3 linked regions of the Arabidopsis thaliana genome follow. The protein of the gene in region 2 interacts with the protein of the main gene of each other region in a pairwise test. Each region holds a gene or a part of one and is shown on either strand. Other genes may lie near its edges.

Region 1 (11,290 bases), on a different chromosome or scaffold from region 2:
TCAAATTTTATATAATTAATTTAATCCATAACTAACTAACACATTTATTTCATTATACCAAAAATAAATCATCACACACTAAACTAGAGACGCATGACCGTGCCACATCCTTCCTTCATTTGTCAACAGAATATTAAGTTATTAACAGTTGGGTCCCAAGTTCGACACTCATAAAACAATATATGTAATTTGAGGAAGATGGAAAAACTTCATGCAACACTGTTTCTGTTTTTTTGTTCATATGAAAGTTATGGTCAGTTTTCGCCAATGCAGATTTTCACTATATATAAGATATTTTCTTTTTCTTTTTTGTGCTCTACAAAAATGGAAAGAGCAATACACAAGAAACAATGAGAAAACTATATGACAAGCTAATACAAGTCTTTTTTTTTTGAACAAAGCTAATACAAGTCTAATATCCCAAAAATTCTTATAAGATTCTTATATGTAAGTTGATATCATCATCTGATCTAATCGTCATAGCTTCACAGCAGATCCAAGATTAACGTTTCACAACTCAACAAAATAATTCTTTTTAATTACTGTACGTATACAGCAATATGTAATTTAAAAAAATAAAAATAATAAATGACCGTATGTATTTATTGCAGTTCTACCAGTTGAACTCAGCAAACAGAATCACTATTTAAACCTTTAGTCGTAGTATCGATAAAACTGTTTCATATAAGAAACATCACATGCAATATAAATGTTCTATATAGAATTAATGATGTCATGACCCGACACATAAATTTTAAATTTTATCATAATATACATAAAAAGGTCACATCCAAAATAAAACCTAAGCACAAAGAGGGACATAGAAGAACCATATGGTGATGGCTTCTCTCTCCTGCTCTATGGGTATATATAACACACATACAAATAGTCACAATGTGTTGCTTGTGAGGGCCCAGCCTCTTGTATAAGGCCGAAGTCTTATTCCGTTGAAATTCTACTCAATATGAGGTTTACCTACTAAGACCCATATTATATCAAATCCAAAGAATGTTTCTCAAGTTAATATCCTAAGAATATTATCCATTATTATTATATATCCTCCTAACATTAGGTATTTTCCATCATCATATCTTGAAAATTTCTACAATTTTTTGTTCTTTTACTTTGATAAAGATACCATCCATTTGTTTCAACAATTGTTGAGCTACGTAAATAACACATTTTAGAAGTTTCACCATGAAAAACAAGTTCTACAGCGGAATTATTCAACTACCATAATATCAAAATTTAATTCGGGCATATTCAACTCCAGTACAGAATTTATACACCATGCATCTACACAGATAAATGCTGCAATCGATCAAGTTAAGATGTGAATGTGTTTTGCATAATTAACTGATTGGTGGATTAAAGATGAGGTCGAAATAATCCAATGTAGATGTTACTGGTGAAAATAGTACTCATGTTTATAACCTACATATATTGCCAAAAACAACAACATTACAATTGCAACAGTGAACATGAAATGTTCTTTGTGAACATGTGGTTCGTTTTGTGCATAAATAGTGTCATGATGGATATATAAAACCAAATTATGTCATCACAAAAAATACACTAGTATTGTGACAATAAATTAAGATCATGATTTATTTTTATTTTTCTTAAAGAAATTTAAGATCATGATGTTTATTAATATTCGGAACTTAAATGTATATATGCGTAATCATCACAACTTTCATATACTAATTAAAATTGATTAATGCCAACTCACATATATATATGCGAATAATTTGAATGAGTTTAATGAGAATCAGATTTTGAACTACGATATGTGGTAATGTAGGCGATACGTAATATGATGGGTCCATATATTAAAACCGAATCTAGCACATATATTATATCATCGCCTGATTACTTTGCATCATAACAAACATGGATAACTTACTCAGCGAGCAAAAAGTTATCTTGGAGAGAAACTGAAATTTTGTTTACAGTAGACTTTGGGTCACCGTCAGAAAGAAATGATTTATGTTTTCACATATATTATCAATTATTCGTTATTATGGACGGAAAGCCTATAATTTCCTAGAGAGACCTTTTCTAGCTAAAGAAAATATATTTTCAAATCGATAGAATTGCATTTCGTAACTAAAAAAAAAACACAATTCAGCATAACTAAAAGGGTTGTGTTTTTTTCTTTTTCTTTTTCACCGATTATATATAGTAAATAGCTTTTCAGCAAAAATTAAATGTGTTCCGCATTTTTATTCGACCGATATTTCATTCTTCCTTTGTTCATAGATTTGAATATACATATATATCTATATATATATATATATATTATTGTGCCATAACAAAGAAAGAATAGATAATTGTTTGTTTGTGTATAATTTAGAATTATAGATATTGGGTAAAGTGGAGAAGGAAGAAAAGGAACAGTGAGGCAGGATCTGCGGTGGGGATTTGGACATTCAATGATCTTACCGTTTGAGGGAAAGCCGACCATTGATGCGCACACCAATGCAATTGCTTCCCTTTTTTCTCATATAAATATTAAAACTCATAAAATAAATAAACAATTAACATAAGCAAAACTACATAATTTGGTTCATCGAATTAATAATTCATGTCAATAATAGAAAATCAAAACCCCCCAAAACTTTTACGAATACATACATTCCAGTTTTCTCTCGGGTCCTCGTACTTGATTACCAAATTTATTAATTATTGAATTCCCATATGTGTGTTTTCAATTTATTTATTTTTGTTTATTTTATAGTTAAAATTTTATGAGGAAGAAATCCATTATATGTGAATCTATATCCTAAAATGAATCTAACCTAGCATAAATATGGGATAATACTTCAAAACTACTCACAAACTTTGAAATATTGTCCTTCTAAACCTAGAAAGATATTATTTATCTAACCTTCTTCTTGTCTATATATTTTTGAAACTAGGTCATAGGAGTAGATTTTACTGATATTTATTTCTTTTCTAAACTACAAACACAAAAATTGTAAAATCAGAATTGTGTCCTAATTTATGCTATTTTTTTTTAATTAGCTCATGAGTCGGGAATGACGCCACAATTTTATTTAATTAATTTGTCCATCGGTATTTAGACAGTTACATTATTTTTCAAATTTACCCTGTTTCAAAACTATTTTTAAGTCTCAAACTGATAAGATATGGCTTCTTTTTTTCTTTTTTTGAGGAAAGGCTTTTAAGATAAGAAAATTTGTTTGGGAATTGGGATGAGAGCCATCTCCAAAAAGCAGTGACATTATCTTTGTATGATGTATCTGAACCTCATATGCTTTATGTATTTTTTTATTTTATTTTTTTGTCAAATATGTTCCTTTTTATATATTAATCCTGTTTCACTCATAGTGAATATAAATAAATAAATTCCAATTTTTCCGTGGAGCCAATATAGGTCGAACTCGAATAGCTTTTTGTTTTGTCATATTGGCTATAAGATTATTGTCTTTGGTATTTTAGCGTATGTATGTATACTCTTCAAGCGAGCCCTAATCCTCAATGTCTATTATTATCATCTTTATTACATTTTGACCTACTTGTATGAAATGGCATCCACTAATGCTTTTAATTAAGTACATAATCCACAGATGTGGAATATTTAAGGACTTTTATGATTTAAATATGTTAATACAAGTTCCTGTGCTATTAAGCCTTACGTAATCTGATAATGTTAATCAAATTAGATAATACATATAATTAGAGCCCCTTTTGTAGATTTACTTTAATTCGTTTAATTAGTAAAACAATCACCATGAAAAAATCGTCATATTCAAGCATAGTTTTACTCTCTCTTTTTCAACGACCATAGTCTGACAATAAACTAAGTGAATTCAGACTTGAACATACGAACAACAATTATTCACATCATTCAATGGTTTTGCATTCTTTTTCCTTATAAGATCCAGGTATAAGAGATACACAAATTGAATAAGGATCCAAAGTTAGATCTTTGTACGGTTTTTAAAAATACAATGAAGTAATATGTTATATAGTTCTGATGTGCAGGTTCAGACGCTGTGTTTACTTACCATGATCATACGTAGAAACTCTCAGTCACACGAATTATGAGACTATGATGTCGTCCGAAAATTAAGACATCTTATAATAGTAAGAAAATTAAAGAACGTGATTTGTAGTTTATAATTATAACAACTTATAAGATTTTGAAAACCTTTTAAATTGATTAAAAAATTATTTTAATTCTATATTCTTAACAAAAACAAATCACCAATAAAAAAAAAAAATCTACTATCTGAATTTCTAATGCTTACTGCCTAATCTATAAATGTTATCTTCAAAACATCGTAAACAGTCTTAACCGCACTGGTTATTTCTTAACCATCGTTTTATTTTTTTTATAAAGAATAAGGACCTACATATCTGAATGAAATAATTACTTTGCGTAGACTAATACACATTCGTATTTGACCTGCTTCTTTAGTTCCTTTTTTTTTTTTTTTTCGTTAAAGTCAGTTTTTAGTTTTCAGTCCATAATTAATAATCTTTCTCTCTCTTTTTCTCTTGCACCCAAAGAAAATCTCTCTTTGCAACCCAAAAAAAAAGCTCTCTCTCTCTCCCATCCCATCACAATCTCTCCATCTCCATCTTCATCTCCCATCTATGTCTCTTGTATAAAGATAATCCCACAAGTCTTAAAACTATTCCTTTCTCTTCCTCTCTCTCTCTCTTCACCATGACTGATCCTTATTCCAATTTCTTCACAGACTGGTTCAAGTCTAATCCTTTTCACCATTACCCTAATTCCTCCACTAACCCCTCTCCTCATCCTCTTCCTCCTGTTACTCCTCCCTCTTCCTTCTTCTTCTTCCCTCAATCCGGAGACCTCCGCCGTCCACCGCCGCCACCAACTCCTCCTCCTTCTCCTCCTCTCCGAGAAGCCCTCCCTCTCCTCAGCCTCAGCCCCGCCAACAAACAACAAGACCACCATCACAACCATGACCACCTTATTCAAGAACCACCTTCAACCTCCATGGATGTCGACTACGATCATCACCATCAAGATGATCATCATAACCTCGATGACGATGACCATGACGTCACCGTTGCTCTTCACATAGGCCTTCCAAGCCCTAGTGCTCAAGAGATGGCCTCTTTGCTCATGATGTCTTCTTCTTCCTCTTCCTCGAGGACCACTCATCATCACGAGGACATGAATCACAAGAAAGACCTCGACCATGAGTACAGCCACGGAGCTGTCGGAGGAGGAGAAGATGACGATGAAGATTCAGTCGGCGGAGACGGCGGCTGTAGAATCAGCAGACTCAACAAGGGTCAATATTGGATCCCTACACCTTCTCAGATTCTCATTGGCCCTACTCAGTTCTCATGTCCTGTTTGCTTCAAAACCTTCAACAGATACAATAACATGCAGGTTCTTAATTAATCACACTCTCATTAATCTAAATCTTTAACATATCTCAATACGCATTACTTTTTGAAGAATTTCGTTTTCTTTTCCATGTAAATCGACTTCTTTTTTCCCTTCATTATTCCGAGTAAACCCAAAAGGTAAAAACCAAAGAAAATAGGTTTGCTCACTAAATTTCCTCGAAAAAAAACAAAAACGTTTTCACCTTAAATCGGTAAATAAATATATATAAATACATACTGTTTTCAAATCAATCAGAGGACGTGTCTTTGCTCACTGATGCATGAATAAATCATTGCATTACAAAGAACCGAGAGACTTGAGACTGTGAAGTCTGAGACTGAGATTTAACAAGACAGTAAATGTTCTTTATGTCTTTAGTACTTTCAGAGTCTCTGTGGTTTGCTGCTTTTCACTACAATATTGGCAAGTGTGTCACCCTTTTTTTGTATGAGAGTCTTCAAATGTCTAACGTGTAAAATAACAGTACTGATACGATTTCACAGACCCATATTTCAATTAATATACATAGATACATATAAGGCTTCATTTGTTTGCTACATATATGAGCTTGATAAGATTTTGTACTGAACATAAACTAAGCATCTTTTTCTTTTTAAGTTTTGCTTAGTTAATTTGTTAACCTAAGCATGCATTGACATATCTTATTATTATTATTATTATTATTATTATATATATATATATATTTTTTTTTTTTATGAAATTCGTTTCTATAATTTTGATTACATTTCAGCATTTGTTTGACATCTTATTGTCTTTTTACATATGCTTCAAGGTTGATCTGCTAATTAAGTTGCGTCTGCTGGTTAGAATAATCATCATAACATTGATAATCTATGTATGCTGGCTAGAGTAATCATTACATCTTATAGAAGACACATGTTATTAAAACTGCTAATGCACATATCATAAGCTAAAGTTTCAAGACTCACACTTTTAGAACTTTTCGAACATATACTATAAGTTATCCAAACCCTACATGATGATCATATATACATGCATGATTTTGTTTACAGATGCATATGTGGGGACATGGATCACAATACAGAAAAGGACCTGAATCTCTAAGGGGAACACAACCAACAGGAATGCTAAGGCTTCCGTGCTATTGCTGCGCCCCAGGCTGTCGCAACAACATTGACCATCCAAGGGCAAAGCCTCTCAAAGACTTCAGAACCCTTCAAACACATTACAAGAGAAAACATGGGATCAAACCTTTCATGTGTAGGAAATGTGGAAAGGCTTTCGCAGTCCGAGGGGACTGGAGAACACATGAGAAGAATTGTGGCAAACTTTGGTATTGCATATGTGGATCTGATTTCAAGCACAAGAGATCTCTCAAAGATCACATCAAGGCTTTTGGGAATGGTCATGGAGCCTACGGAATTGATGGGTTTGATGAAGAAGATGAGCCTGCCTCTGAGGTAGAACAATTAGACAATGATCATGAGTCAATGCAGTCTAAATAGCTTATATATATTACTATAAGTACTAAGTAATTCGGTATATATATTAATTATAAGAAACCTAAATCTATGGACCAAGTTTTGATGGAGGTAGGGCTTTTCAAACTAAAAGCTATATCATCTAATTGATCATAGGAAAAAAATGAATCAAGAGCACTTGGAAAATTTTAAATTGTATCTTTAGCTTCCTAGTTAAATTTATTGCAAGACAATGTAGCAGTCTAACCAATGAGGTTCCCAACGGTTTATTTCTATTTGTATATTATTTTGTCATTAGCTTCACCTTTCGTTAATTCGAAGGACATAACTTATAAATGTTTAAATTATGTTTGTTAGGATACTAAAAGACAAGAAAAGTAGATGCTATACATTCATGCATAAGAATTTTCTCTTAATATACCATATTCTAGATCAAAATGAATATTTCCAAATTTCAATTTGAGTAATAATAGATTCTAGTTTTTTTTTTATTCCAACAGATATTTGTTTTCTGGTGGAGTTATCGTTGGTTTTATTTTATAAGAATACTTGTGATACTTAATTGTCTAGTGACATCATGGAAAATAATGAGAGAATGGACACTAGAGAATATTGCTACGTACTCAAGTGCAGAACTTTATTAGGAAGATCGAATACCAAATTATACATAATGTGATGATGATACGCATCCCATATGTTTTGAGAATATAACAATACATAAATAATTATAGATGTGTTTTGGTTTATATTTTATCAACGCATGTAAAATTAAATTAAAATAATTCAAATCTTTAGTACATAATTTACCAAAAAATATCATTCAACTGAACAATTCTTGATTCTCACGAACTCATCCGAATGTGAGAAAACAAATCAAAATGCCGATGCTAGTTATTGTCATATCTACCAATTCATAGCAATTAGTTTAAAAGCTACTCTCGTCCGTTTCTCTTTCTTTTTTTAGTTTATGTATATGTTGCTTGATCTAATACATAATCAACAGTTGAAACACTTCAGTTTTTGTTTGTATCGTTTGCGTAATACCTTGTGTTTTTGAATGGTTACAAGTACTTGAAATGAAACGTTTAAAGTATATTGCGTTTTTTTTCTTTTCAAAACATCTGTGTTAATTTTTATATTTTTTCTTAATTATTTTATGGGGTGTAATACTCAAATTTTAAATATAAAAGGCAATTATAATATATATTATACTGTTTCTTCAATAAAATGTTTTGTTGGTTTCGTTCTCATGAAAAAATTGTCCTATATATATGTAGTGATGTTCATACTAATTAACTTTCCGATTAATAAGCACCAAATGAATATTGCATTTGTTAACCTGATGAAGCCTGTCAAAAAGATTTCTTTATTTTTACTATATATTATATATATAAGAAAACAAAATTACCGGACTACAAGTGATTGTCTTGTTATTGTAGTTACAGTTTTTGTTTTGTGTCAGTTAGTTGGTAATGAAGAATTCAAGATCCAATTTGGATATGATTGTATACTAAGATTACAGTTAAAGAGAGGCTTTTCTTCCTGCAAAGAGCTTTTCAATATGCTCCCTTTTTGCTATCTTTTTTTCCCCTCTTCTCCTTTTTGTTAGTGGAGAGACAAATTTGCTCGTTGAAGGAACATTACACCTCTTGAACTAAATAAGATTCACTTTCATTTTATTTTTTAATCTTAGAATTCGAAACCAAAATTATCTCTCGATTTAGATATTGTCATATTGACCTAATTTTCGTTCACGTATAAAGGTATGCATAAACAGTGAATATTCCTTCGGTTCCTATATCTGCATACGTATGCATGCAGTCATGTATATACACGTGTATGTATGTACATGAAGATGATGATAAATGGGTGAAGAAGCACAAACTAATGTGAAGGAGGGTGATAAAAAAACAAAAGAGAAGAGAGTGGAGCCCAAAGGGTGTGATGGGTTGTTTGGGAGCAAAGATTGATGGTATCAACAGTTATTTTTTTTTTGCTCTCTATCTTTCTCTCTCACTCACTGTTATTTGATTTGACATCTCATTTTTCCTTTGACCATCTCTCTCTCTCTCTACACACACACTCTCACACAAATGACACAACTTTCATCATCTCCTCCAATCAAAACCCACATGCTTGCCTCTTTTGTATTCATTTCATATTCAAGTTTACTCATCTTATTTCTTAAATGTATTTGAACCTAATCTAAAATGTTAGATTAGTTGTGTCCCTAACAGTTAGTTACCTTATTTTAATACATACAGTAATTGGAGGGATATACATAACATTAATGTGCAAAAAAAAATTCTGTTATAGATGGATATACATACAATAATGTATGGGTTGTTTTAACATTGGTCACAAGCTGAAACTAAACAGTAGAAAATCTGGAAAAGTTATGAACGCACATCTTTAAATTATGTAGGATTCAGACAACATTTATTGCCAATCAATATCCTACCCCTTTGTTGGGAGAAATAGACCATCCCTATTCCCTACCTCTCTTCTTTCCTTTGACCCCTCTCATTTTCCCAACACTCTCCAGAAATTTCTACCGATCGATAAATATGTACATATATATTGGTATATGGTATTAAGTGGTTCCTATCGAATGTTAGATCATCTTTTATATGCGGTAAAATGTAAGTCATGCGTTGACAGATAACATATAAGCAGTAAAAGTTTTAGCTAGTCATTCAAATCGACATTTTCTATAATACGGTAGAAAACCTTCTAGATTAACTTTTGTCACTTTATATTTTTGGAATCTATGTATAGCTTTATGATTAAACTATTTAAAAAGTCCCAACAGTTTATATCACATTGGAAAGTGATAAAGAAGCAAGAGAAATAGTTATGTTTAATATAATTATATAAATGAATGATATAAGTTAACATGCTAAAACTTTGATTTTTTTTAATTTACAACTTAGTTATGAACACTATTATTTTTTGGTCAAATGAATTCTAATTTGCTTAGACATATATATATCCAGTTAAAGGTCTACATGCACATGTTTATATATTAAGATAGATAGATCACACAAAGAAACATAAAAATAAATGGAAAATTATTGATATAAAATGGAGTACTAGTTAAAAGTTTTCGAATCTCGAAACTGAATTGTTCTCTGTGAGTGTGCAAAAGACATTTTCAAAATCCGAGCAACATATATTTGGATTTTCCTACTGTTGCCGGAAAGAATCCGAACATTGGACTTCACTTTGTTCCGTAACTATGCTGTTAAATTAACTAATGCATTTATAAAACCAAAGTTTATACATTGGTTATTTTCACGTAGACAATTTTCCTTGTCTGAAAAAAACTTGAATAAAAGGCCTTAATTCCTGCTTTTTAAAATCCCGAAGCAATATTCTAAATCCGTCAAACGAAATTTTAATTACTTTACAATTTCCTATGTTCATGTCGAGATATGCAAATGTGTAAATTACTAGTACTAACTGAATTAATTTATTTAGTTTTACTGTTCATATTCCAAGGCTGATCTGAAGGAGACAGCTTTGTCTGCCGTGGCTCAAATCTCCATCTCCCACATTTAATTTATTTTAGTTGACACACACGTACGTAAACTGTTTACATTAGTAGTATTTTTTTATCATGGAAAAAATCTTCCTGTGACCGTGTGACGTATTTGTTTTGTCTATATAATACATAATTACATATACGTAAATATGTAACGAAAACGTAAATGAAAGAAAAGTATAAATTTGATTATTAAGATTAAGTAGCACATAAAGAAGATTAATGTAGCAATATATGATTTTCGACAACTTTGTTTGAAGGAGGCCCCAACATGCAAAAGATAAAGGGAGAAAGAGGCCAAATTGAGCTTGACTCATGATTAATCACGGGTACCTCAAAAGAGCAAACAAAAAAATATATTGAATAAACTAATTTCATATTTAAAGAAATACTTGTGTAAACAACATACATAAACAGCATATATATATATATATATAATTATATATATCAATTTAAAATTATTGTTTAAGGAGTATATATATATATATATATATATATATATATAACATTTAAATTAGTGCATGGAAAACAATATTTCTTTATAGATCACAAGTAAAAAAAAACAAAGACATGTAAGAGGGCAATATGTAGGTATGATGTGCCTTCTAATCATTTCTTAAACAATAATGAAGGGGAAGAGTGTTCATTGAGATTCAAATTATCGCCAAAGGTTTCATTCGCATACTCTTTTTTTTTGTTTTTTTACAGAATCATCATTCGCAAACTTTGTAAGATAATATTGTCTATAAAAAAAAAAACAAAAAAAATTTGTCTATAAATGTACCTAGCTACTTTAATGATTGTTTTAGTTTATTTTTTGATAAAAATTTTAAACGATTGTTTTAGTTTGAGTTGTTATCCTATTTTTTAAAAAAATCAAAAATG
Region 2 (12,325 bases):
CCTCCATCACACACGCCTCCTTCTTCTAACTGTGGAAGTCCACCTTACGACCCTTCTCCTTCAACTCCTTCTCACCCTTCACCTCCATCACATACTCCAACTCCTTCCACTCCATCACACACTCCAACTCCACACACTCCATCACACACGCCAACTCCACACACCCCTCCTTGTAACTGTGGAAGTCCACCTTCCCACCCTTCCACGCCTTCACACCCTTCCACTCCTTCGCACCCAACGCCATCACACCCTCCTTCTGGTGGATATTACTCATCTCCTCCACCAAGAACTCCGGTTGTTGTGACTCCACCATCACCCATTGTTGATCCAGGCACACCCATCATTGGAGGAAGCCCACCAACTCCTATCATTGACCCAGGCACTCCTGGAACTCCTTTCATTCCTGCTCCTTTCCCACCAATCACTGGAACATGCGAGTAAGTGTCAAAACATTCGCTCTTATACAAACATCATAAGACAGATGATGATATCAATTATCACACTTCATGTGTTTTGTTTATCTTTTGTGTAGTTACTGGAGAAACCACCCTACATTGATATGGGGCTTGCTTGGATGGTGGGGAACTGTTGGAGGAGCTTTTGGTACAGTCAGTATTCCCAGTAGCATTCCAGGGTTTGATCCTCACATGAACCTTCTTCAGGCACTTTCCAACACCCGCTCTGATCCCATTGGTGCTCTCTACCGTGAAGGCACAGCTTCTTGGTTAAACTCCATGGTCAACCATAAGTTCCCTTTCACAACCCCTCAAGTTAGAGACCACTTTGTTGCAGGACTTTCCTCAAACAAGGCAGCCACAAAGCAGGCCCATACCTTCAAGCTTGCTAATGAAGGTCGTCTAAAGCCTAGAGTCTGAAGTTAAGAGAGTTTCATTTCTCAGTTTGTTTGTTGGTTTATATCAAAAACAATCTTAATTAATTATCTTGTCATTTGTGTTGCTCAGTAGAATTTGAAGTGTCCTATAGTCTCTAGTAATATTTATGATGGATACTTCCTTTTATTTAATGTTGTTGTTTCAAAAAATTTCTTGATCTTAAATAAGATTTAGTAGTTCCTCTGTTTCTCAATCACTGTTCAAGAATGTCCAAAGAAATGAATCATATGCAAGTTTAACCCGAACAAGAAACTATAGATAGGATCATAAAACATCAATATTGAAAGAGATAACAGATAATTTAATGTATAGACCAAGGTACAGAGAAGTCAAAGTCCAAATCTAGATTAACATGCTCACAGACCAACACATTGTCATAACTGTTGCATTAAATTGTTCATGAGCATTTTTAAAATCATGCCTAAGAGGTGTGTCTATAAAGTGAAAACAACTGGATTAAACTCCAAAAACGACAAGGGCAGGAGAAAGAGAGAGAAGGAGCAAACATTATAGCATTAAAGAAGGAAGGAGTACATATCAAAAGTGTGGTGTTAGTGTAATAAACTCTGTGGAGTAAATATTGCAAGATGGTCTCCATGCATTCAAGTTTCAAACCCCAAGTTCTACCCACCAATGAAAATATCTTTAATGACTCTCTCTATTGGTGTCTGGAATTGCATTCATGATATTAAGTTGGTGTGTCATGGTTATGGAAACACGACATCTTTGGAGGTTGAGAAATATCTCTATCCAAGTTTATCTTCACCCAAGGCTGTTATTTTTTCCTACTTTATGATCTTATGACTGATTCTAACTTTTTAATAATGTCAACAAAATCCATACGAAAAATAATACTAATCCAGAAGTAATCAAACTTTGATCCACTGAATCTGTTTTAGCCATGGAGAGCTTTTTCAGAAGTAATGAAACTTTGAAGTAATTTGAACGAGTAAACTTTTTGAAATTGTGATATATGCTTGTCATGATCAATGTGTGAACAGAGGATGATGATTTATTTGGTTTGTGATGATAGCATTAAGTAGATTTTCTCAAGTTCTAGCTCTGCAGTTATTTTTCTTCAAGAATTTCAACTTTTTTTCCTTGCTAAGTTGGATGCATCGATTGAATATTCTAGGCTTGATTTGTTCATCAGCATGTGGAATTTTCGGAACATAGCTCACTAAGTGGTTTCTTATCATTTTGAATTGAAAGTGTTCTGTTTTCACCTAATCACATTCTATGTTAAGGAAACTAAACTTATTTTTTGGAGACAGTCACCTCAGATTAAGACAGATGCCAGAACACATGTAGCAGTAAACAAAATTTAGCTATGAGAGTTTTCACTAAATCAAACTGATAGGATATGTAGCTTGTTTGGTTGCTCTCTTGCAGTAAAAGTTAGGTCAAGACACTATGACAGGTTTTGGCCGTTATACTATAAATCATGGTGAGAAATGCATGAATGTATTAAGTCTTGCAGAAAGCTTGGGAGGAGCTGCTGACAATGGAATTGAGGAAGAAAAGTCTCGTTGAATTCATTAGAAAATGGTACATCTCTTAGCTCCATTTGTTTTCAAATATCTTCTGCCATTTCTGTTGTTGCAGGTTTTCGACGCAGAATGAGAATGATTAAAGGTCAAGGGTTCTAAAATCCAAAAACATTATGACACAAAGTTCTACTAATAGTTCCATCTTATGATGCAGCATGATGTCCTTTCATAGTTTTAGGTACTGGTAAAGCTGTGGATGTAGAGACTATCAATTTCTCACATCAAGCTTCCTTCTTGATACAGTCTCATATACTGCAGAGTGTTAATACAGGAACTTCTACAAGCAGGATTTATTGCTGTTGAAGATCTTACACATCTTCTTGTCCCTCTATGACATGACGCTGGGACTAAGATCCTGATCCACTGAACTTTAGCAAGACTCTCAAATTCACAAGGGTTTTCATTTCAGTTGCCTTGTCTTAGTAAACCTGAGGTACCATCTACGATCTCTTTCTTGTAAATTTATGCATTACCTTAGAAAGTGAAAAATCCTGAGCTGATTTAGAAGGATAAAGAGACTATATCCTCTGCAGTTTGAAAACAAAAGGGGGAAAAAGGTTTGGCCTATATATATCGCTTATATCTTCCATGTCCATGATTTAGAATTTAGAAAGATCTTAATTAGATGTAACTTGGGATCTATCTATGCATATGCAGCTTTTGCATCTCAAACTGCATCTCAATAGTCTTGTTGAAATTGCATATGCTTTTTTTACGTCACATCAACACATTTTGATTTGAATATGCAACACTAACTAGCAATAAATCCCATTTTATTTTTGGATCTCTTGTCTTAGCCTTAACTTACATAATCAAGATATATGTAAATTATTAGGTCCCTCTCAAATCGTTACCATCTGCATTTTAAGTTTTTTGACAGTAAGTGTAACATGAATATATATATGCATAAGATCGATCTCAGGCTGAGGAAAGAAGCTTATGTTAGACTGAATCAAACAAGTTGCAGAGGTGGTTGGTCTTGGTTGGAGGAATTCTGATTCGGTTCAAGAAGGTTAACCGCAATATAATTCCGGTTATACTGCCCCGACTGGTGAGAAGAAGTAACACCCGACTCGTAAACTGTCCCTTGATGTATCACACTCGATTCTTGTTGCTGTAGACCTGTTCTTTCAGTAATCTGCAGAGATATTTAGAATTTGCACATCAAGAGATTGTCTACCGGAAAAAAATGATGATCAAAAATGCCAAAAAGAGTTATGTATAAAACCTTGGAGCGGAGATACATGTTATCGTTTTGCAGCTCGATTTCCTACAATGCAAGCGACAACAGAAAATAAAAAAAGATGATCATCAGAAAGAGAAGTTGCTAATAAAGTAGGGGGTAAGTTACTTGTGAAGGAAGATAGGTTTTACTTTTACCCTTTTTTGCATGTATTCAATCTCTGCAACTAACATCTCGTGCTGGAGAGAAAAACCAAATATAACGGGCAAGAATCAGATGGATATATATTCAATGATAAGGAGATTGATGGAGAGTTAGTGATTGTACCTTCTTGGATCGGACACGACTGATTCCTTTCTCAAGCCTACTTTCAAGGTTCTTGAGTTCCTTAAAGTTCAAGGAACCAAGAGATTCACCAAGAATGTGTCTGTTCAAATTCTGAATGTCCCGAATCTGTCTCCGGAGTTTAGACGCCTCTTGCTGATAGTACTTCATCAATTTCGATCCCATCATTGTTACAAGAGGTGAAAAAAAGGTCAGATAACTAAAAGAAGAAGAAATTAAGTAATTAACGAACTAGCTAGCTAGGTGTATTAATTAAAAGCTAACCTGAGTATTAGCTTCGGTGATGGTCGGAGGGTTAACGGCGTCGGAGCAAGCTTTCTTGTACCTTTCTATTGTTCCTCTCACACTTCATCAACATTCACACAAAGGAAAAGATTTTAAAATGCAATCTTTTTTGTGGTAGCTATATATGTAAATAGATGCAATCGGTGAAAATCTCAAACTTAAACCACCACAAGTAAAACAAAGACACACGAAACTATAACTGTTGGATTCAAACACTAAAACCAGAAGAGAAAAAAATATATATATATGAAGTCGTTAAAGAAATTGATATTTTTATCTTCTGGATATACAAAACACACAGAAAGACGGATATTAAGGTTTTGAAAATAAAGTTTTGTCCGCCCAAAACCTTAAATTCAACCGACAAAATAGTGAATGGACCAGTACCATATAGTATATGATTTGTTTGCCCTTCTTTTTTTGGGATATTATTGTTATTGCCTATTATCTATTAACAGTGACATCTCACAAAGTTATATATATATATATATATGTATAATCAAAGTTCGAGAAGACCCTAATGTGTACTTCCCCAAAAAAGTGTAATCCTAATTTGAAAACATACAAAAGAAAGAAGTAGCAAATCGGAGAAGAAAATAAAAAGAATTTGAATTGCATATGCTCTTAGTTAATTGGAATTGGTCCCAATTTATGTACGACACAAAATCCAAATTATATTTTAGGCTAGTATATATTTTGGCCTAATTAGATTAAAAAATTCACTACTAGGCTTTAAGAAAAAGAAGTGATTTTCAGGTCAAGTCAATAGATTCCCTACTCTAGAAGCTAATTTTGCTTCTTCATTTGTTTTTCCTGAATTAATATTTGAACATTACATTTACATGCATATGTGGCTGAGGCAAGTATGTTTTTACCAAGAACATGATATTTGTAAATCTTTTGCAAAACAGAAAAAGAAAAGCTAGAAATCTTTGCATAACGTTATGCTTTCATATTCATATACAAGTAATTTACATTGTGCTGTTGTATAATGGAAAGCTGAAGTTGAGAAATGTCAAAAGTAAGATACTACTAAAGCATGAGGGTGTTTGAAATAAGAAAGTTAACTACACTTTTGATAATAGAAACATATATATATCACATGTTTCTACATACATAATGCATTCCTCTTTTGTTAATCAAATTAGTCATGTCCATTATAAACTTCAGATCAGTTCTTTAGTCGTTGTGAAAGTTCACATTGAAACTACAAATTTACTAGTTTTAACTTAGATCCATGATATGAGACTTGACTTATAGATTATAGTCATACATCAACCTCAATTATAGTATTAACTAGCCAAGCAAATAAAAACAATATTTTTGAAAACATTTATCTTTAAAAAGCAGACAAATAATCAAAATGGTGAAATGAACATGAGCTGTTAATAGCTGGAAACGTATAGAAAAACGGAAATGACAAGTCCCCAACTTGAAGTGGAGAAAATAACAATCAAAAATCAAAATTTTCTGTTTCGTTATTTTTCTTGATTGATGGATCGGATGATTAATTAAGTGACTCAACAATAAGCTTTGTCCCTGATTCATTTTCTTGATTTAACAAAAGGATTCACCAAAAGATTAGAGAAGTGTCAGAAGACAAACACCTACTAGTCTCTCCCTAGTGAATCAATTTTGAAGGAATCTACATAGCTTTTTTATATAGCCAAATAATATATATTATTATAATTTTATCAAGAACCCTACTTTTTCATTACTATGATGGAAACCTAATGATCAATCTGCAGAAATAAAACTTGATGGGTCATCAAATTGATCGAAGTGTCTTGTACAAACTGACATAAATAGATACATATATAGATACTGTTATAAGGATTTGTGGAGAAAAAGTGACTGGAACAAGGTATGGGGGATGCTAATTAATGATCAGAGAAGACCCTCACTGCTTTTTTACTAAGAGAAAGAAGTTAAAGTAGGGTTCCCTAGTTTTAAACAAACCCTAATTTTGGGGATTTTTAAAGAGATTTGAGCTTCAGAGAAACTAAGGAAAAAAACTATAAAGAGACCATAAAGATTGAAAAACCCACCAGAAGAGTCGAAACTTTATTCTAGAAAAAAAATTCAAGAAAATCAAGATCTAGCTAAAAGATGTGTACCTGTTGTTGGCGTACTCGTAGAGACGGCCTCGAGTGGAGAAGATGACAAGAGCAACCTCAGCGTCACACAAGACAGAGAGCTCATAAGCTTTCTTGAGTAAACCATTGCGTCGTTTGCAGAAAGTGACTTGACGATTCGTAGTGTTCTCTATCCTCTTTATCTCTATCTTCCCTCTCCCTATCTTCTTGCTGCTCTCTGCTACTTCATTACTCGCACCACCCTCCATTTCTATAAGCCCTAGCTGAAGTATAAACACAAGAGAAATAGATCAAATCCTTTTGCACTCAAACACCTTGGATTAAAAGAAATGGTTTATAAGGATTAACTGAAGAACCCTAATAATTTGATTGGAGAAAAGGAAGAAACTTTTAAAAAAAAGTGTAAATCATCAATAACCATACCTGGCTTAGCAAGATTAATTATGATCAGAAAGAAAGAGAAGTGAGGATGGGAAGATGAATTATGAGAGAGTTAATTTGTTCATTGGCCTAAAGATACTATTCTTATTATCTCAGTACCACTTAACTGCTGCTTCAACTTTATTTTTTGTTTTTGGTTTCTGTTTTGGTTTATAATTTCTTTTAGAGGAATATTTCTTTGGAAGTATTTAAAAACCCATTTGCAGAAAACAGAAGGTTTGGTAGTTTTTTTTCAAACTGAAGTGTTATAGAAGGAAAAAGAAAGAAAGAACATGGACCATTACTTCTAACATTTTCTCAAATATCACACACCTAATTCTTTTAATTAAATTCTATATGCATACATTTAGATTGAAATTTGAAATTGATTGGAATTAAGTGGTAGAAAATATCAAATTAGAAAGAAGAAAAAAGAAAGAAAGAAGACAGTTGGGTTTGGATTGGGTGGGGAGAGAGCATTGAAGGAGGACCATCCAATTTTTCTTTCATGTTTAGAGGAAAAAAGAGAGGTATGGGCTCTGTTTCTCATCAGAATCACCTTTTGGAAACTTTCCTTTTTTGGTAATCCCTTTTTATTCTCCTTTTCTTTTTATTGCCCTACTCCTATATACATTGCATGTCGTTAATATTTACCTGGCATTTTATATATAAAAAAAATATTTCCAATTAAACCAATATTTAGCTAATATGCTAAGAATTTGGGTGGTTTATATGAGTGTTCGTCGTCAACGTTAGAATGGGGTTATATGAATATGAGTGTTATAACTTGTCAACTACCAAGCGAGACAATGAATAAGATTTCAGTGTTCTTGCCAATTAAAAAAAACTGTAAATAGTATATATTATTATTTGGTTGTGTTCAGAAATGGCAATTTAAGAGTATATATTATAACTGGTTTAGTTTTTCCAAAATTCTTATGTTCAAGTCTTAATCTTGGACATTAGGTTAGTCCAACGGCAATTTGAATATTTATTTTGATAATTAATTACATCATATTACGTAATTTAGACAAAAGAACTACATCATATATGCGACAATATAATTAGAGAAGATGAAACTAATAAAGTAAATGAAAGCAGAGAGCCCACGGGGAATGACTAATCATGTGTGTAGTCATTATCCATGAACCCTTTCTCAGATTTGCATTAATTAATTGTAGTTACGAAAGGAAACTCTTTTGTGTTTTGCCCATTCCTCATCATTTTCATTGTACTTCTATTCAATTTTCTTAACGAGCAACACACATTTTCACATTCATGTCGAATTAATTAAGTTGGAAATTCTGCAAAATCATTTCAAGAAAGAACTTGATGAGAGCTGGTAGGTCTTTTGATTGACTTTCGTGGTCTATATTCTCAATATATAGTATATGCTTTGAAAGTTGAATATGCACTAGTTCTTGTTGTGTTAAGAGTTAATTAGCGTGAAGTAATATAATTCTCATATCGAGTGTTTAATTTACTAGCTTTATGACAAAATAATCATAATCAAATAGAATACTAATGAAGAAAAAGGTAATATATATATGTAAGAAAGATGAATTATGTAAAGATTGCTTTTACTAGCCCTGTGACAAAAAATGTTAAATCTTTATCAAATTGAACGATGATTGATAATTGAAATTTAATTTTAATGAAAAGAAGTAGTATATAAATGGGTAAGAAAGAGAGATTTCCAAATTAAAGGACAGGTGATTTTTACTCAAGTATCATAATCAAATTGTGTATACGTCCAATCTCATTAATTAGTGCATAAGTTATTGATCACTAACTCTTGTGAAAAAGAAAAGAATCTTTTGTTTTGACGAAAACATATTCCAAATACCATTCATAGGGATACTAAACCCAAGACTTTGGATTTCCCTTCATCAGAAATTTTCCAACGTTTACTTTGAGATATTTTTTTTCTTCTTAGAACATATAATAAATAGGTTCATGAAAACGTAACAATGCGTTGGAGATTCTTTACCTGGCTTGTTGCCTTAACTCCCACAAAGATTCTTTTGCTTGAAGAAATTTCAAGCTTTTGTGTATATATCCAACGTCACAGTGCTAAAGACGTTTGAGAAAGTTTCTGTTGAAAGAAGAGTAAAAACTCAAAAAGAAAATGGGTTTCATTATTGCGATTGCAAAACGTTTTGATGCTCTAGTTGGGTAGGATTTTATTCAAATTCTGTCTCATATAATAAAAATAAACACTATATTTGTCAAATTTTTAACATTATTTTCTTCCTTTTTCTTGTTGCATGCAGGCCTGGAGTCATGCTTCTCTATCCTCTGTAAGTGATATCAAATCTGAATTTAAATGTTTGGTTTTTACAAATGCAACTTGATAGTTAACTGAATAAATGATTAGGTATGCATCATTTCGAGCAATAGAGAGTCCAACAATGTTAGATGATCAACAATGGCTTACATATTGGATCATTTACTCTTTAATAACGATATTCGAGCTATCCGTTTGGAGAGTCCTTGCCTGGTAATTACAATATTATTCACTAAATTCTGTTACGAATTCAAAAATTTATGCCTATAAAGACAAAAAAATGGTGTTCTTTTGCATATTGTAGGCTACCATTTTGGCCATACTTGAAGCTTTTGTTCTGTATGTGGTTGGTGCTACCAATGTTCAGTGGTGCAGCTTACATTTACTCCAATTTTGTTAGACAATACGTCAAAATTGGGATGAATGTTGGAGGAGGAACGAATTATACAGACGAACAAAGAAGAGTTTTACAGATGATGAGTCTTGATGCTAGAAAATCGGTTCAAGACTACGTTGACCGGTTTGGATGGGATTCTGTTGAGAAAGCAATCAAAGCGGTATATGATTTCTCTTGTTGATCTTTAATATAGTTATGTATATATAATCCAATACATATATTCTGGGAGTTTAACTTCATTATTTGTGTTCAAATGTAGGCTGAAAAAGAAACTAGAAAGCATTGAGATGGAAGATCAAGAGTCAAGAAAAACATTACTCTTTGGTTTGTACATGTATGTACATAGATTGTATAGAGCAATACTATAATGAAAAAGATATATATGTTTGAAAGATTTATGGTGACAAATTTGTGTTCTAGTACTCTATGACCAAAGATACTATTAGAGAAGCCAGTCCAACTCTTTTTGACAACATACATTTGGATGGGTCTCAATTTGATTAAACAAAACATCAGGACACGATTCGAATTAAAATGAGAATACAACACTCTTTTTGACATAAAAATAAAAATAAAATTCAAGCTCGCGCTATATCACAATTGGTGTTTTGCTAATTTCCTAAATCTAATTTTATTCTAATTTAATTATGTAAAATAATAAAATCACATCTTTGGAAGTTTTTAAATGTAATTCATATAACGACAAAAAAAATGTAATTCATATGACGTAAAAAAAATGTGATTAATTTTGTTAGGGTCATTAATCTATATTCTATACTTTAATACTCTGAGATCCGTGATTATTATTATTTGTCCATCTCTATCCACAAACCATACATAAAAAATTGATATATGACGTCAGAAAAAGATAATACAAGTCTACATATCTCTTCGTCCATTTATTTAATTTAATTGGTAAAGAATTGAGTGCGCAAAATTAATAATTTCCAATTTATCAAAAAAAAACACATTAATAATTTTATTTTTTATTTTGTTCAACTTAAAAAAAGAAAAGAACACACATTAATAATTTCCAAAAACCCCTCTTTTCTCATAGATTGAAGCGTATACTCTAATTTGACCAATCTAATCTAGGGTTTCTAGTCACTTGAAGCTTCTCTTAAAAAACCTGTCTCACTCCTCGTCAACCTCTTCCTCTCCCGCTGTCGCCAAGATTGAATCTTTTTTCAGGTTTGAATCTATCTTTAGAGTAATGAGTTTCTCTGATTTCCCGACAAAACATGTCTTAAACGCTGGCTTCCTTCTGTTGTTGTCCAGTTCTGCTTTCCTCTTATCTGGGTTTTAATAGATCCTTTCACAGAATTTGTTTGTAAGTGATATATTTTTTCCACTTGTCACGGCCACGATTCTGATTATTCTTCTAATTCGTTGTTGAGCTGTTATGAAAACGATGCAGAATTTGAAAGTTCACAACTTTTTGCTTCTTATCTATTCGCTTAATGCTTTTTTATCTGTTATGTTTCGTGTTCTTAGCTGGATTTAGTTATGTGCGTTTTTCAAGTTCATTAATGTGTAGGAATGTTTTTCTGTGTGAATGACTTCTCTTCCTCCTATGTATCTCGTTGCATGACTAAAGTCAGTGGCTGTATTACGAAAAATCTATACTTTATTTAGGTTGAGTATAATTTCAATGTCTAAAGCTCTTAAACTAGCTCCCTGTTAAGTAGAAAACTTATTGATGAGGAATTGGCCAAGTGATTATGATTATTGCTATCGTGCATTTGGGCATGACTGAGATAAAACCTTAACTTTACATATTTTCTGTCAATCAGTTGTGGCTTCACCGGATAATAAGGAATTCAGTAAGAGATAAGTTCATCCTGACAACATGGAGACCAAGAATGAGAATTCTGATGTTTCACGGGCAGAGGAGTTTAAAAGTCAGGCCAACGAAGCTTTTAAAGGTGTGTAATTTATCATAAACCTTTACATAATCTTGTGGCATCAGTTTATTTCAACTCTTTTAGTGAGGTACTCCTATCTTTTTGCTTAATGTTGTTTGTTGCTTACAGGTCACAAATACTCCAGTGCTATTGATCTATATACAAAAGCTATTGAACTCAACAGCAACAACGCTGTGTATTGGGCAAATCGTGCATTTGCTCACACAAAACTGGAGGAATATGGCAGTGCAATACAGGATGCATCGAAGGCCATTGAAGTTGATTCAAGATACTCTAAGGTATCATCCTGTGACAAGATGTTCCTGTTTCTTCGTGTATTCAGCCATATTCACTGATTATCTACTGAATCACAGGGCTATTACAGGCGTGGTGCTGCGTATCTTGCCATGGGAAAATTTAAGGATGCCTTGAAGGACTTCCAACAGGTTAGTGTTTCTTGCACGAGCATTGTGCCATTTAAGTTGTTGTCTCTTTCGTTTATATTTGTTAGCTGCTGATCTGATAGTCCTCTTTCTAGTTTACTCTAAACTTTTTGAGTGAGGATCAGCTCAGTTGAGAAATGTCAAAATACTATAGATGAAATGTTGTAGGCTTGTATAGCTTGAACCCACCCAAATGGTCATAACTTGATTGTTTTGGTCTGATCAAGTGATTAGATCCTGGAAACTTGATAGAGTGATAGTTATCTGTCAAAATCTGGTTTGGTGGTCGACTGTCTTGATCTTTTAAGCAAGACTAGCGTGTATGGTATTGTTGACTTGGTCTGCTATATATATTTTAGGTAAAAAGGCTTTCTCCTAATGACCCTGATGCCACAAGAAAGCTAAAGGAATGTGAGAAAGCAGTGATGAAACTCAAATTTGAAGAAGCAATCTCTGTGCCAGTATCTGAAAGGCGTTCAGTAGCTGAGTCCATTGACTTCCATACAATAGGTATCCTTCATC
Region 3 (9,891 bases), on a different chromosome or scaffold from region 2:
GGTATTGCAGTGGTTGGTCCTAATATCGATGCCATTGGCGGAGGAATAAAGAGTAATACTTTGTCTAGCGTTATGGTCATGGACTCTCGTTCTCACACGTGGCGTGAAGCTCCAAGCATGCGGGTGCCCCGCATGTTCCCATCAGTTTGCACCCTTGATGGGAAAATATATGTAATGGGAGGCTGTGATAATCTAGATTCAACGAATTGGATGGAGGTTTTTGATACGAAAACTCAAACTTGGGAGTTTTTACAGATCCCTAGCGAGGAGATATTTGGAGGCTCTGCGTACGAAAGCGTAAGGTATGAAGGAACCGTCTATGTTTGGTCTGAGAAAAAGGATGTGACTTACAAGCTACATGAAGGTAGATGGAGTGCAGCAGACATGTCGGCGAATGGTTGGGGTTGGCCAGGATCTTCTTATTGTGTGATAGAGAATGTGTTATACAGTTGTTTTGTCCACAAAATCCGTTGGTATGACCCCAAAGAAAGAGTATGGACACCTTTAAAAGGACTGCCTTCCTTGCCTTGTAATGGCCACGTTAAATTGGCGGATTATGGTGAAAAAATGGTGATTTTGTGGGAGAAGTATGTGGATGTTGATGAGAAAAAAATGATTTGGTGATGCGGAAATTGCGATAAAAAAACGCCAAAATGGAGAAATTTGGGGAACGGTAGAGTGGTTTGACAATGTGTTTATGTCCAATGGGCCAAACGCTTTAATGGGTTTAGTGCATGCGCTTACTAGTACGGTTTGGTGACATGAACGTGTGAACTGAATCAAAGTCACCCAAATTTAGTTTTATTTTGATTTTTCCTTTTTGATATTCTTGTCGAACCCGAGACCTTGGAGAATTGTTTGGTTATGATTTTTCTTTTGCAATTCGTTTGGCAACATCTAACAATCTAATTTTAGTGGTAAGCAGAGCTGGTTCACTTCTATTATCATTCAACTGATGAACCACGAGAACGCTCTCTTGTGCATTCAGAGGCTTCTCCTTGGTGCTAAGTACGCTAGCTTTTTGCAAGCTAGATGGGACTTGCATGTCTCTTTCAATATAATGGAATACAACCAAAACACACAGATTGTGTTTCCTTTTTCCCCTGTCCAAAAAGAAAACGTGCTTCAACTCCTGCATGCTTCTTTTCTTTCGATTCTACAAATTCCAAGACCATCTGTTTATTGCTTGTTCTGGAGAATCTGCTATTGCCTATTGTATGTTTAAATAATTTCTGGGTTGTTTTTTTGTACTTACTTATTCAATAAAGAGAGCTTGAGGAAGAATGCTATTGTTGCAAGACAGAAACTTTTGGGCCAGCAGTTACTTTGTTGTGTGAAGTGAGAGTTTCAGATAATATGGAGATGAGATTACCTTTGATTTACTTTTGGTCGCACGTCTAATCAGATTCATGCATTCACTGCAAGTGGTTATATTATTCGTTTGTTTCAGTCTAGGTTTATTATCATGTCCTTCAGAATTACAAATATACTGTCATACATAATACATTCACACGTTTATAAAGGTATGCTTCCTTTTACAACTGAATCATCACATCTGCTTCATGGGTTCTGAGATCTTGTAAAGTAAGAAGCATATTATTCATTATCAGTTTGGTATACTGAACAACTTACACAGAAGAAGAAGAAGAAGAACTGAATCACTTGATGAGAATGCATCTTGTCGGTGCTCCTTCCGCTCCAACTAATCTCAGCGGTAAGCAATGAAGCGAGTATGTTCCTACCTCCACACCATCCAGCTTCAGCGCTTCCACTGGGATTATATCCTGAAAACATGTGTATCTCACGTGTTAAGACGTAGTTCATCTCCCTTTTAAGCCTACCTATCTCTCTCACTTTCTTGTCCAGTGAATACCGCTATATTCAATCATATCCCATGGTTTGACATCCAAACATCACAGGAGAATTGGAAATGTTTAGGTACTTGAATATTTTTTTATAGAGAAAGATATACTAACCCGTCCTTTAAGTATAACCCTGTGTGTTGCAGGTGATTCCTCAAAAGCAGCAAATGAAAGATAATCAAGCCCTGGATTCCACAATGCAGAATAACCGGTTTCAGAAAAAAATGTGTAATACAAGCTATCGATCATGAAAAGCTAAGAAACCGAAATTGTCCATCTCTTACCAATAAGTTTGATGTCTGTATTCTCAACCAACCATTTAGCCCCATCGGTCATGAACCCAGCAAAGCTTGAATCAAACTCTTTCTTAAACATAAGCCGCCTAATATATATATCAAACACAGAGTGAGTAAGCTTATGCTCTCTAGTTGTTTTTACCAAGATTAAGGTAATAACACACACTCTCAATACTGAGACTCTTACTTGTCGGTGTTGGATGTTCTAAAGAGCACACGACGAACTCCTCTTTGTATATGAAGTGATTCCATTACCTCAGCTAATAAATAATAATCCAACCCAAACACAAATCATTAGACAAAAGATACTAACTTTAAATTTTCGTTACAAATTCAACAACTCACCAGTAATGTTCTTATCTCTCGGAACATCAACCAACAAAGCAGGACCTATATACACAAAAACCCCAATTTCAAAACTTTATCACTAACCCAACTAAAATCAATAAACACCAGATTCAAAAATTACCATTTAGGACTTGGAGATCAAGCGAATCAGTATCAAAACCAGCATCGTAATAATTATCCCAAAAGTGACCTGGAGCATCCACGTGAGTTCCAGAGTGAACAGATAGTTTCATCTCCGATACGTTAGCGAATGATCCATTCTTCATACTCGCGGCTAATCGCAGGAACGTCTTTCCCAATCCTTCCGAAGATTCCCAAGCTGGAATCTCCGGCGTGTAACGATGGCTGATGTCGTATATCTTACCTCCTTCGTAGACCTCACGGCGGATTGGTTTGGGATCGTCGGCGAGGAGAGAAGAAGAGAGGGAGAGTACAACGGCGAAGAGGAAGAGAGGGAAACTGACGGACCGGGTCATTGTTTCGGGTCGCCGGTTAACGGGTTCAATTTTTTATACTAGTGTTTAGTAATCAAATGATTAAGCTATGGTTTATATAATGGACTCCTTTGACCTTTGACTTTTGACTTTTGAGTTTGGCAAAACCGTCTATATTGACTAAAAATAGCTGAAATGATTTTTATTAAAACAATCTGAATATCATCGAGGATAAAATAGCTGTCCACATTTCACAAGCTTCATCAAAATATTGACGTCACGTTTCTTGATTCTCTTAATCAAAGTGTTGATGTCACGTTTTTAACTTGATGATAGAAAGGGACAAATTAAGAATCGGTTTAATCACAAAATGTTGATGTCACGTTTCTTGCAGAACGTATAAAAATATTCATAGCTTGATGTTACTATAGAAGCTTTATGATTTGCTTTATAGTTAATATATACTCCATTGTTGGCCAATTGGTGGAGAGATTGTAAATTTGTAATAATGGGGGAATTGAGTTAGTGGTGGTGGATACTGGACAGGCCTAGCCCAACATACAGGGACGGGGTTATTATACCTTTTGCCTTCCAAAATTGTTTTTGTTTTAGACAGCCCATAGTGATGGGCCGGCCCACCATGAGCACACTGATCCAGAGCCTCTCCCTTTTTTCAATGCATTTAGCTTACAAAAGCAAAAGGTCAGAGATTTGCATATGAATTTAATTGACTAACTCCAAAGTATTGATTTTGAACAAAGCTATGCATAAGAAACTTCTTGGTTACTGTTTTGTTTCAAAGAATCTGATGATGTTTGTAACATATGTGAAACTGCAACTTTCTGAAAGTTTATTTTTGTTGTTTATTTCTGATTCTAAAAGTAAACGGTTAGGTGAATTTGTTTGTTAGCGTTGTGATAAATTTTTAACACTTTTTTATTTATTAAAAAATGTTTTCAAACTTCTATTTTTGTATTATTACTATTAAAACTTTGGATATTTCTTTTTCAAATAATATTTTGGTTATTTTTGTTACAAAAATTTTGTTATGTTTTCAAACTTAATACATGTTATAGATCATGTATTAAAAATATAAAAATAAGATTTGGCCAAAAGACATGTATAGATCATGTATGTTGCCAAAAAAAACTAAGAATGTAAGATTCTCCACTGATGGATGTAGAAGTTACAGTGATATATAATACAAGATTCTTAATACAAGAAAATGATCCTCGGCAGCATCACAAAACAAGATTCTTGTCGATCAGTTTTTAGAAGAAGATTGGAAGATGAAAACCGCAGCTAGAACACCAACCAATGCTGTAACAGCTAAAGCAACCGTAGGCAATGGACTTGCTACTCCAAAATTCTGAAATAAGAAGACAAATCAAATCTTAAGTTATTCTACTTCTCTTACATTTCTCAAACTTTCAACTTTTATATAAGCAACAATATCAGTTATGATGTTTGATTACCTCAAGAAGTCCTTTTCCAGTGGAAATCTCAACAGTAATGGCAACTGCAAAACCAACCATGGCGCCACGACCAAGCCATATATCCAAACCACTGCTTCCTTCTGTACTTTGCTCACTTCTTATGGAAACTGATGCTGCTCTGTTTCCTCCTCTACGGGTCATACTCAACTTCAATGGCACTGAAACGGACACACACAACATACAAAAACGAAAGAAACAAAGTTTCAATTTTTCCATGGATTTACTCAGCTAACAAAGACAATGCAGAAAGCAAAATTAGAAAACTTTATGATAAATATTGTTGCCCCATATTTCAGATAACCAAACTATATATGAACAATTCAGTAATCAGAAATATCAAAATTTGAGCCCAATTTCAAACTAAACTTCAAAATGTAGAGAATTGAAGAATTTTCTCAGGGGCAAGGAAGACGTACAGAGAGGAGAACCAGAAGCGAAGGTGGATCGGATTCCAGCAAGTTGCGGAACATGAACCCGACATGTAGAAGTTGGGTTTGTGATTGTGGCTAGCTTTAGGGCACCAGAATCTGGAAACATGAAATCCGAAACTAGTCAGATACATACATTATAGAGACAATTGTACAACTAGAGGAAGAAGAAGGGTAGCGAAGAGAGAAAGAAAGAGTACTGGGAAGAGAAAAGGCGAGAGACGCAGACACTTGAGATAAGGCCATCTTCCTTCTACGTAGATATCACAAGACTCTCCCTTTCTTCTTCTTCTACTATTCTCCTTCCTTCGTCTTCCTTTCTCAAGAGTCGCAGAATTATCTGTTCAAGCTGAGGACACGTGTTTTCTCTCCACTCATTAAGTTCGTATCTTTTCGAGCTACACAGTTTTCCAAAACGGTGGCGTTTCACAAACAACTGCATCTCTTAGAGCAAACCGAACCTAATCTGAACCAAACCAAACCAATTTTGAAAAATTGGATTGGCTTAATTAACAGATTCTCTACGATAGTTACATCGGTTCGTTCAATTGGGTTATAAACCAATTTGTGGTCACTAATATTCAGGAAATAAATATTCAGAGAAGAAAGAAGCACTCAAGTAATAGAAACCATAAAGTTGAAACATCAAAGAGACACTACTCTCAACGTTACCAAAACTGTATGAAAGCCAAAATAACATTATTGCCTAAACCAACAAACAACATCAAATCTTCACCGGTGAGATTTAAGATTCAAGAATCAACAACACACCAAACTAGAGCTTGAGGAAAACGAACTCCTCAACCGCTGGAATTTCCCCAATCTTCTTCAGTGTCTCTTTGCTTGGTATGTCATCTACTCCAATCGCCATAATCGCTTGCTTCCTCGGTGCAATTCTCCCAACGCTCATGAAGTTAACATTGACATTAGACTCTCCAAGGATGCTTCCGACAGTCCCGATCATACCAGGTTGATCCACCTGCCTGCACAGTATGATACTACCTTCAAGAGTTACATCGACCTCAAAAGATCCAACCTTTGTCAAATGCGGGACTCCGTCTTTAACCTTTCCTTCCACTTTAACCTCTCCTGATTCAGACAGGGAACTGGCGAATTTGGACTCCACATTGCTTAGCTGAACAGTTATTGTCTCCAATGGGCTCTCTGGTGAACCATCCAAAAGCACACGTTCCTCTGAGAGTCTGAGACCTCTCTGCTTGGCTGTGAAATCAGCGTTGACCAAATTGACATATACGTCAGAGATTGGCTCGATGATTCCCTTGGTGATCATGGCTCGGAGAAGTCTGGTGTCAAGATCATCAGTGGCTCTTGCTGAGGCGTATGTGATTTTCGCGTTTTTCACACCGCTTCCTCCGGCCACCAGTTGCACTGCCAGTCTTCCTAGTTTCTCGGCTAGCACCACATATGGTTTCAGCTCGGTCAGAACCTGCAGATAGAATGCATGTAAGCTTGAGCAAATAACAAACATGGATAGTCTTAACAATTGAAATCTTCCAACTTGAATCTGATAAGAACAAAGCTATAAACCTTGCTAGTCTAAAATCCAATTCAGAAATCACAGAAACTTGATTAATGAGGCTCTTAAAACAAATCCCTAGAAAACCCACCCTCACTTCAACAATTTTGCCGCTCACTAACTTCTTTCTAACCAACTCGGAACAAATATAATTTGCTACATTCATTCCCAGGCTAGCTACAGTAAATAGGCTGATAAGTTTGCCTCTTTGAAACAACACCAATATGTGTGTATTTACTAGCACAAGCGAGTGCTCACCTCAGCAGAAACCATAGGTGCATTGACTGCAGTAGCAGCAAGCTCTCCATTCAGAGCTCCAACAACAGCTTCAGCAATTTCGATGGCAACTCCTTCCTGTCAAAGCCAAAACACCAACTATATAACAGAAGCCAAACAGAAATTTCATGATTAATTATCACCTGAACTGTAAAATGAATTGCACACCTGAGCCTCCATGGTACTAGCTCCAAGATGAGGTGTCACAGTGACCCTCTCGTGCTGCACGAGCTTGCTATCTTTAGCCGGAGGCTCTTTGGTGAAAACATCAAGTGCAGCCTGCGCAACAATACCAGCATCCAGAGCTCTCACTAACGCATCTTCGTCTATGACACCTCCACGAGCAACATTAACAATTCGAACTCCCTTCTTCATTTTGGCAAAGGTTTCGTCGTTTAGTATCTTCGATGTTGTTGGCGTAAGAGGCATATGAAGAGAAATGAAATCCGCGGTGGCAAGGGCTTCATCAAAGCTCACTAAGTCAACACCAATGGCGTGTGCACGGTCTGCTGGGGCATAGGGATCATGAGCAATGACACGCATACCAAGACCCTTAGCACGACGAGCAACTTCCGTCCCAACTTTCCCGAATCCCAACACTGCAAGGGTCTTTCCCACAAGTGAAACACCTACATACTTGTTCCTCTTCCACTCTCCTGCATTACAATGGTATTATTAAAACCAAGATCCACAAGTCAGCTAGATAACAGACAAGAATGATCAAAACTCAATTTCAAAAGAATCAGCAAATGTAACGATCCTAAATTTCACCATCGTCAACAACAGTACAGGAAAAGGAAAGCTCATGATACAAATTAATAAACACAACAAGCCATCAATCACAGGTATAGAAAGAACATAATCAATAAATATTTCGCAACATATGGAAAGTATGAAATTGAGGCAATGAATCAAAAAGGAACTAACCAGCCTTAACAGACGCATCAGCTTGAGCTACGTTCCTAGCCATGGCGGCCATAAGAGCGATTCCGTGCTCAGCGGCAGCGATCGTGTTCGCCGTCGGAGCGTTGACAACCAAACACCCAAACTCCGTCGCTGCACTCAGATCCACGTTGTCGATCCCAACACCAGCGCGACCAACAACCTTGAGCCGTCCGTGAGACGATTCGAACACCTCACGGCCAACCTTAGTCCCACTCCTCACGATCAAGGCGTCACAGAGCGAGATCTTAATGTTGAGCTCCTCAGGAGTCATGTTATACGAACAGTCGACATTCGCGACATCCTCCAAAAGCTTAATACCAGCGTCACCGAGCTTCTCCGCCACGAGAATCGTAGGCTTAGATCCGTCTCCAGTACTGCAGGAAACGAGAACGAGGCGTCGCTGAAGAGTATTGCGTCCACGGGAAGGGAAAGCCACGGAGATGGCTGATGGAAGGGGCGATCTGGAAGACAGAGTCACGTTCCTGAGAGAGTTGGTGGCAACGGCGATCGAGGAGGAGGCGGCGGCGGTGGCTGACATTGCTACCGCTTTTGGAGTGTGAGTGAATTGAGTAGAGAAAAATATTGTTGGTGGCGGAGTTATAACACGAGGGAGAGATCTAAAAGGTTTTATAGTCGGCTCAGGGGTTTGGTGTGATGTGATAGTATTTTGACGAAGGTGATGAAATCTCACGCGCATTTGGCTCGCGCGTGTGATTCAGTTTGGTTTAGTGATCTGCAAAATGTTTCGGCGAATAGAATTTGCATAGTTTACCGGAAAAATTGCCAAACCAACAAAAAATAAAAAAAAATGTACAACTTTGAGGAAAAGTAAACTTTATTTATTACATATCTCTCTGACCGAGAACAAAAGATTACTCGAAAATTATTTACAGCTTTGAAGATTTTTGACAATGCAAATAGAGATCTTGAAGAAGCCTTATTTTGATGGCATGAGGAGTCTCACGATGTCTGTCAGATAATCAGATCATTGACTTAAATACAGTATCTATAAAAGATTTTAACATTTATGTCCCAAATGAAAAGAAGACTTGTAATGTTTTTTTTTAATGTAGAGGAGTTACTATGTTTATAATATATCCAAATCATAAGTTTCCGCAGAAATTTCAAAATGAAGCAGGAAATTTCATAATTTTGTTTTTCTTTCTAAGGGAGTGTCTGTCCATGCTTCATGCTTGAATGCAACAAGTAGTAATAAAAGATTAAAAGGTCCCCGCACTACTAGTAAACGAGGCCATACACTAGAGGGAGAGCCGCACTTTTTAGTATTTGAAAACAAATTGAAGACTTCAAATTTAAATTGAATTGGACTTTCTTTTTGAAAAAACTCGAGAGTTTTAGTTTTCAGGGCAAGTGATTTGTTTGTGTCAACTTACACACATGTAAATACATCAATTGTGAGGAGGAATATTTGAAAGGATATACTGATGGCTGTGACGTAAGTATAATTTATTGCACGTGAAAGATTTGCTTAGTGTGTCTTTGCAACTGCTTAGATGCATTGTTTTTGGTAGGTCGACCTGTTGACACCCCCCGTATAGTATTCAACGCAGCCGCGCGTGGATGGGTGTACTGTTGAATCTTCGTATATCTTTTGGTTTATTTTGGTTTACTCAACTGAAATTACCTTTTATGAAAAATGAGTCGACAATTAATTTACTTTTTTTTTTTTTTTTTCATTCTTTCATTTTAACCCAACCATGGTAAAGTTACAACAGCATAATAAAACTCATATAAAGGCCCAGCAACATAAAATTACTTATTTCTTTCAGTTAAGGAAAATAAGTATTTCGTTATTTTTTTAATTGCTTTTTTTTTTAGAAACAATAACTATCTATATATACATTTTTGCAGCCACTTTAACAAATAAATCTTCACTTAGCACTTATTTACTATGGCATGCCATTGACATTTATTATTTTACTAAACTTATTTTTAAATATAAATATAAAATCTATTATGTTACTAAAATTTATGAAATTAAAAAAAAAAAAAACATTTAAATCTTTCCAATTAGCATTAATCACCCTGATTTTTCGTTTTACATCATTTATTTTCAGTTAATAAAATGAATCAAATCTTATATTACAATATATGCTTTAATATTTTCATTAAAAAAATAATTGCGTAATAAAATTTGAAACCCTAATTATTTCTCAATCAACATTTTTCGTTTCAATTGTACTAAATAATTTTGCTCTTTTTTGGCAAAAATAAATTGTACATGTATTAAGTTGATATTGCAGATTCA

Evidence for each region.
Region 1: the proteins of SHP2 (region 2) and NTT interact in binary tests that used the Arabidopsis thaliana proteins (3 or more experiments, as listed by UniProt).
Region 3: the proteins of SHP2 (region 2) and SEP1 interact in a two-hybrid assay, tested with the Arabidopsis thaliana proteins (one study listed by BioGRID).

What each region holds. Positions count from the first base shown.
Region 1 is NC_003074.8:21,366,237-21,377,526, forward strand, and holds NTT (C2H2-type zinc finger family protein), read left to right. Parts: upstream 1-4,520; 5' UTR 4,521-4,699; coding exon 4,700-5,398; intron 5,399-6,432; coding exon 6,433-6,885; 3' UTR 6,886-7,355; downstream 7,356-11,290. UniProt on the Arabidopsis thaliana protein: Transcriptional regulator required for normal differentiation of the ovary transmitting tract cells and pollen tube growth. In Arabidopsis, the transmitting tract facilitates the transport of pollen tubes to the ovules for fertilization.
Region 2 is NC_003071.7:17,814,877-17,827,201, reverse strand, and holds SHP2 (K-box region and MADS-box transcription factor family protein), read right to left. Parts: upstream 6,948-12,325; 5' UTR 6,776-6,947; intron 6,616-6,775; 5' UTR 6,601-6,615; coding exon 6,374-6,600; intron 4,945-6,373; exon of another isoform or gene 4,318-4,944; coding exon 4,236-4,317; exon of another isoform or gene 4,116-4,235; coding exon 3,954-4,115; exon of another isoform or gene 3,866-3,953; coding exon 3,818-3,865; exon of another isoform or gene 3,714-3,817; coding exon 3,672-3,713; exon of another isoform or gene 3,582-3,671; coding exon 3,396-3,581; 3' UTR 3,189-3,395; downstream 1-3,188. Other genes in the region: PDF1 (protodermal factor 1), read left to right, coding at 1-437, 533-875; HVA22F (HVA22-like protein F), read left to right, coding at 8,901-8,947, 9,046-9,072, 9,150-9,272, 9,364-9,616, 9,716-9,742; PP5.2 (protein phosphatase 5.2), read left to right, coding at 11,306-11,381, 11,490-11,659, 11,735-11,806, 12,163-12,313. UniProt on the Arabidopsis thaliana protein: Probable transcription factor. Interacts genetically with TT16/AGL32 in a partially antagonistic manner during flower development. Is essential for the coordination of cell divisions in ovule, seed coat development and endosperm formation.
Region 3 is NC_003075.7:16,368,402-16,378,292, forward strand, and holds SEP1 (stress enhanced protein 1), read right to left. Parts: upstream 5,336-9,891; 5' UTR 5,111-5,335; coding exon 5,065-5,110; intron 4,964-5,064; coding exon 4,853-4,963; intron 4,595-4,852; coding exon 4,416-4,594; intron 4,310-4,415; coding exon 4,205-4,309; 3' UTR 3,932-4,204; downstream 1-3,931. Other genes in the region: AT4G34170 (Galactose oxidase/kelch repeat superfamily protein), read left to right, coding at 1-624; AT4G34180 (Cyclase family protein), read right to left, coding at 1,659-1,784, 1,977-2,047, 2,147-2,244, 2,346-2,418, 2,504-2,548, 2,628-2,982; EDA9 (D-3-phosphoglycerate dehydrogenase), read right to left, coding at 5,640-6,311, 6,660-6,755, 6,846-7,333, 7,605-8,160. UniProt on the Arabidopsis thaliana protein: May be involved in non-photochemical quenching, a process that maintains the balance between dissipation and utilization of light energy to minimize generation of oxidizing molecules, thereby protecting the plant against photo-oxidative damage.